Kluyveromyces lactis: one gene and its partner. Each later gene encodes a partner of the first gene's protein in a complex. Links are inferred from orthologs where the notes say so. Each region holds a gene or a part of one and is shown on either strand. Other genes may lie near its edges.

Region 1 (2,815 bases):
AGAAATACCCAAATAAATGCGAGGGTCATTATGTCTGCATGGATTCAAAAAATCATGAATTAGAATTGAGTGAGTTTAAAAGAGATAGTAAGAAGCTAATGACTCGAGCAAACTCAACTCAAATATTCCAGTTGAAAGACAAAATTGGAACCTGTCCTGTAAGTTTGAGCGATGTAAACAACGATTATAATATCCCACTCCCCAACAAAGTTACTACAGAAGAACATCAACTGACCAATGAACAAAACATCGACTATGATGAAGAGGCATCATATTTCAATTTCAGCATAAACGTGCCGCCCAAATTGTGCCTAGACAGATATGGCGAAGGTTCTCCCAACAATGGATTAAATTCATCAAAGAGTAGCAGCCTAAGTACAAGTAGCAGGCTATTATTCTCAGATGAAATAGGGACTGAGTTTAAACCAAAATTTCTGGAGCACGAAGAGTCTGATTTAGATTCAGATGGATATAGTTTCCAGTTTGGTGATGACGATACTGACGATAGAATGAGTAACATCACTGGGAAGAAACGATTATTCCCGGAATTAGTCAATGCGAATAAATAAACAAGGTACAACGATAAAATAAGAATTGAATTGAAATCCATAATCTCATCATTTCATTATGTGCATGCTTAATATGGTATATATACATAAATAACAACAAATTCTTTCTCTCTTCAGGTATTCGGTCTTTACGTCACGAATGTTCCATCGTAGGGAAAACTTTAATGTCACCTCTTCCTTCGCTCATGTTCAGATCTGCGCTCCATCTCGAAGGGGGCCATACTATTTTGACTGCTTTACCTAATGCTAAGCCAGTACTGATGGGGCCGAAATTGTTAGAGTCAACTGAATGGTATACATTATCACCTTCGACCCATAGATGATTTCTGGGAATCAGACAGGTATCCTTAGGATAAGGTGATCTAGTTTTCACCTGATCAAACTGTACGCCTTTAACACGTTTACAGTATACTTTCTTTGGATTCGAAGGGGATTTGAATAGTACTACATCATTTTCTTTCCAATTCTTGGCTTGTTTGAGATTAAACTTCCAAAGAAGAACCCAATCGGATTCATTATTGAACGAATCAGTTGGATTAAGCGTAGGTCGCATCGAGGAGCCTTCAATCTTAGCTACATAGCATACATGTTCTGTGAAGGTGAGTATAACTGGAATCCACGAAACTGTAATAACCGCAGATCGCAGTGCATAGCTTCCATAATTGACCATTTTACCAATGAGTTATTACAGGGACGTACAACGATGAAGTCGCAATGCGATAAATTCTTAATGCAGCCGGTTGGGGTAGGGAATTCTTCAGTTTACCTCATTTTTTGTCTTAGGATGCATATCTTACAGATCCATCAAATATTGACGTCTAATTATCTGTTGATTCTCGTATTCATACTGAAATATCCCAGTAATGCTTGAGAAAATTCACCGGAAATATAAATCACGTGACATGATAGGACAGTCCTTTTTCGCTGATGAGAGAGAAAAATAGAGCAGTGGATCAATGCATATAAATCACCGGTTGAATGGACAAACGAAGACAGCATTTGGCGTAATATTTATCGGATTAATCTTGCACTGTGAATAGAGCGATTTTCAGATTGCCAAGGCACCGTAATAGGAACCACAGTAATGGATTAATAGCATCCTCTTTTTTTTTTGATTTCGTTACAGGCCGAATGTTAGCACACTAACCTCACCTGGCTTCCAGTTGCAGTTCTCAATTTCAAGATAAAACCCCACGCTACGGTTCAATGTCTTGACAGCTTCCAATCTTGTTATTGTTTCCGACAAACCAAACCTAATGCAGCAAACGGTATCCTAGATTGTCGTTGATTTCTCGTCCACAGTCCTTCAACTGGTTGAAAAGTTGCGGTTTAGAGGAGGATGCCTGTACTATGTAGTGTATGGGTGAAATGACGAAAAATTGAAATTAATGGAAGCCCAGTCACGTGAGTCCCGGAGACATTAGGTGTTTAAATGCGCAGAGTTGTAGGTAAGGCTCTCCTATCAGCGCGAAATGAACGATATAAGGATGTTTGTTACAATACTTTGAGAAGTTATATCTCGTTTGGTCATCAAAAACCGTAGCTGTGACGCCGGTTGTATCTCTTTGTGGATGAGTCCGAGATGCTCTAATCGGTTGTCATTATGTCCTGGAAAAACGGCTGAAAAAAAAAAACCAGAAAACTAGAAGGATAAGAAAAGTCATTATTTGACTAGGATTTATTATTTTACATCTATATATATATATATATATATATATATATATATATATGCACTGCAGAATAAGGACAATGAACAGAACGAACGATCTTGGCTTACGGCAGCTTTTAGATTGTAAATGTTAGTTAGTGGCACAGACAACTATCGTTTAAGGTTATACATTAGCTTATAATATATGTTTTCAAGATCCCAAGATAAATTTTGCTAACATATCAGTATTAAGCTCGGACTTTCAACATTGTTTACTGAACTGAAACAAAGCAGACAACACCAGAGTTTTGGCATTTATTTCAGAAATAGCTATGACAGAAAGTGATAACATAGCGGATAGAGTTTCATCTGATAGTTCGCTGTCGGTTGAAAGTGAACAAAGAAAGAACACATCGCCGTTCAAACACCGACTCTCCGTCATTTATAACCATAAAATCACACAGTATATCATATCACAATGGTTTTTCATTGGGTTAGCCATATTTATTGTACTTGCGCGGTTCTTCCCTAATTTTGCTAGGAGTGGTGGTCTTATTAGAGGTCAATATTCTATCGGTTACGGTGCAGTCATCGTCAT
Region 2 (2,323 bases), on another chromosome or scaffold:
ACGCACACGTGATACAAGTCACGTGTACAGTAATCATTTATGACACCTAATTATCTGAAACTGCCATGTTTTGGTCGATGTAAAAGATACTCTCAAAAAGGCGCATAAACTATTTAGACGCTAAGATGGTCCGATTTTTTACCTGAAAACCGTCGATGTCGACAGAATGTAATTGAAGCGATATGGCTTGTATTTAACTATGTACATCTGCCATATACCTTTACAAACCCCTCATGATTAGCCGTTAACCGAAATGTATGTATCTTTCCAACCTCTACTTCTGCACACTGGGACATCCCATAAGTCCAGTCACGTGAATGAAGAAAATGAATATACCACTAGTTATTCCTTGTAGAACGCAGATCAGTAAGCTTTCATCACCAATATGAGGATGACTGTATCTCCGCGCAGAACGATGTTGGTCAATTCCTACTTGTGGCAGACTTTAACCGCACATGACATCTGTAATTGTCCGTTAAACATATTCAAATACTGCATGGTCAGCTCAATAAATATCTACTGATCTTTAGATGAAGACTAGGGTTGCGCTTCTTCCTGACATTATAGTTACACCTTGTACTACGGCACTAGTAACTCATTGTATTCCAGTTTTATTATGATCCTTCTCCGTAAACATCTTGTTGCGAAGTCTCATCTGTTGGTGTTCAGATTTGTTACCTCAATGTTTAATACACGTCCATCCTTCACCATGCATTGTTCAAATAGTCTTTTGAAAGGCGTACACACATAGTCATTACCATTAAAAGCACATTCATTCTGTACCAGAGACTTTAAACTGCAATTTTCACCACGTTGAAGCATTCTCTGCTGAGTGTCAAGACCGAGTATTTTCGTAGGTGGAGCCATCACACTGTAAAACACACCTTTATTTGATGTAACGTTAACTGGTTGGCAATCAGTTCTGTGAACCAAATCAGCCACTGTATAAACGTTTTTGGTTCTCTTTCTCACCTTATTTCTCTTGTTTGTCTTTCATTTTGAACATTGAGTTCCATATTTTATGTATAAATTCTTCAACTGAAATATATTCTAAGTATTAAATGTATATTTGGCTAATTGGTAGGCGTCAAGAGAGCAAAGAGTACAAGAAAGTAACCCTCACCAATGTCTTTCCGTGACCTATACGAGCAGTACTGCAAACAAGGCCATGCTTATACCTATGGAACTGCTGGTTTCAGAGCACACAATTCCGTGCTAGATACTGTTATGTTCACTACAGGTATCGTTGCCGTTTTAAGATCTATCTACCTTAAATCAAAATTCGTCGGTGTGATGATAACTGCCTCGCATAATCCACCTGAGGATAATGGAGTGAAGGTTGTGGAACCATATGGCGAAATGTTGGTTCAAAATTGGGAACCAATTGCTACAAAATTGGCCAATGCTGCTTCATCCAGTTTCACACAATTGGAGTCTACTTTGCAATCGATTATAGCAGAATTAAACATTGACACCACTCAATTAGCTAATATTACAGTGGCACGTGACTCTCGAGAATCGGGTCCTCGTTTACTAGCTGCTTTGAAGGCAGGTATATCTGTCTTCCCTGCAGTTAAAATCATCGATTTCGAATTATTGACTACACCTCAATTGCATTTCCTAGTATACAGTTTGAACACCTCGTCTCAACCATCACAAGTAAGAGATTCTACTTATTATGATCATTTCGTCTCTATCTGGAACCAGTTGACGCAATTGTACGAGGTCACTGAATTGCCATTCCATTTAACGATAGATTGCGCCAACGGCATTGGGGCAGATAAAGTGAAACAACTCATTTCTCAGGCTGGTCATATGCTAGAAAACTCCTTAACGGCTGTCAATGGTGAGACAAAGACCTTTCAACTTTTGAATGAGTCCTGTGGTGCTGATTTTGTTAAAACCAATCAGACATTCCCCGCGAATTGTAATCCGAAACCATCTCAACTGTACTGTTCCTTTGATGGTGATGCTGACCGTGTTGTCTTCTATTACGTTGATGGTAAAGAAAATAAATTCCATTTATTGGATGGTGACAAGATTGCTACTTTATTGGCAAAACTAATCGCAGATTTGCTTCGTGATTGTGGGTTGTCTGATACTTTAAAATTGGGAGTCGTTCAAACGGCATATGCGAATGGTTCTTCTACTAAATATATCACTGACAAATTGAAAATTCCTGTTTCGTGCACCAAGACAGGAGTCAAACATCTACATCACGAGGCAGTTTCCCGTTATGACATTGGTATCTATTTCGAAGCCAATGGACACGGTACTGTCATTTTCTCTAGAGAATTCTTAGAAACCGTGGACTCCAGATTAC

The links.
Region 2: IMP2 (region 1) and SOM1 share a complex: the UniProt entries of both Saccharomyces cerevisiae proteins name them as parts of the mitochondrial inner membrane peptidase (IMP) complex. The link is inferred for Kluyveromyces lactis from reciprocal best matches to the Saccharomyces cerevisiae genes IMP2 and SOM1.

What each region holds. Positions count from the first base shown.
Region 1 is NC_006042.1:2,492,556-2,495,370, forward strand, and holds IMP2 (endopeptidase catalytic subunit), read right to left. Parts: upstream 1,240-2,815; coding exon 703-1,239; downstream 1-702. Other genes in the region: putative tyrosine protein phosphatase MIH1, read left to right, coding at 1-569; RCH1 (Rch1p), read left to right, coding at 2,550-2,815. UniProt on the Saccharomyces cerevisiae protein: Catalytic component of the mitochondrial inner membrane peptidase (IMP) complex. IMP catalyzes the removal of signal peptides required for the targeting of proteins from the mitochondrial matrix, across the inner membrane, into the inter-membrane space.
Region 2 is NC_006040.1:80,755-83,077, reverse strand, and holds SOM1 (Som1p), read right to left. Parts: upstream 868-2,323; coding exon 652-867; downstream 1-651. Other genes in the region: phosphoacetylglucosamine mutase PCM1, read left to right, coding at 1,126-2,323. UniProt on the Saccharomyces cerevisiae protein: Non-catalytic component of the mitochondrial inner membrane peptidase (IMP) complex. IMP catalyzes the removal of signal peptides required for the targeting of proteins from the mitochondrial matrix, across the inner membrane, into the inter-membrane space.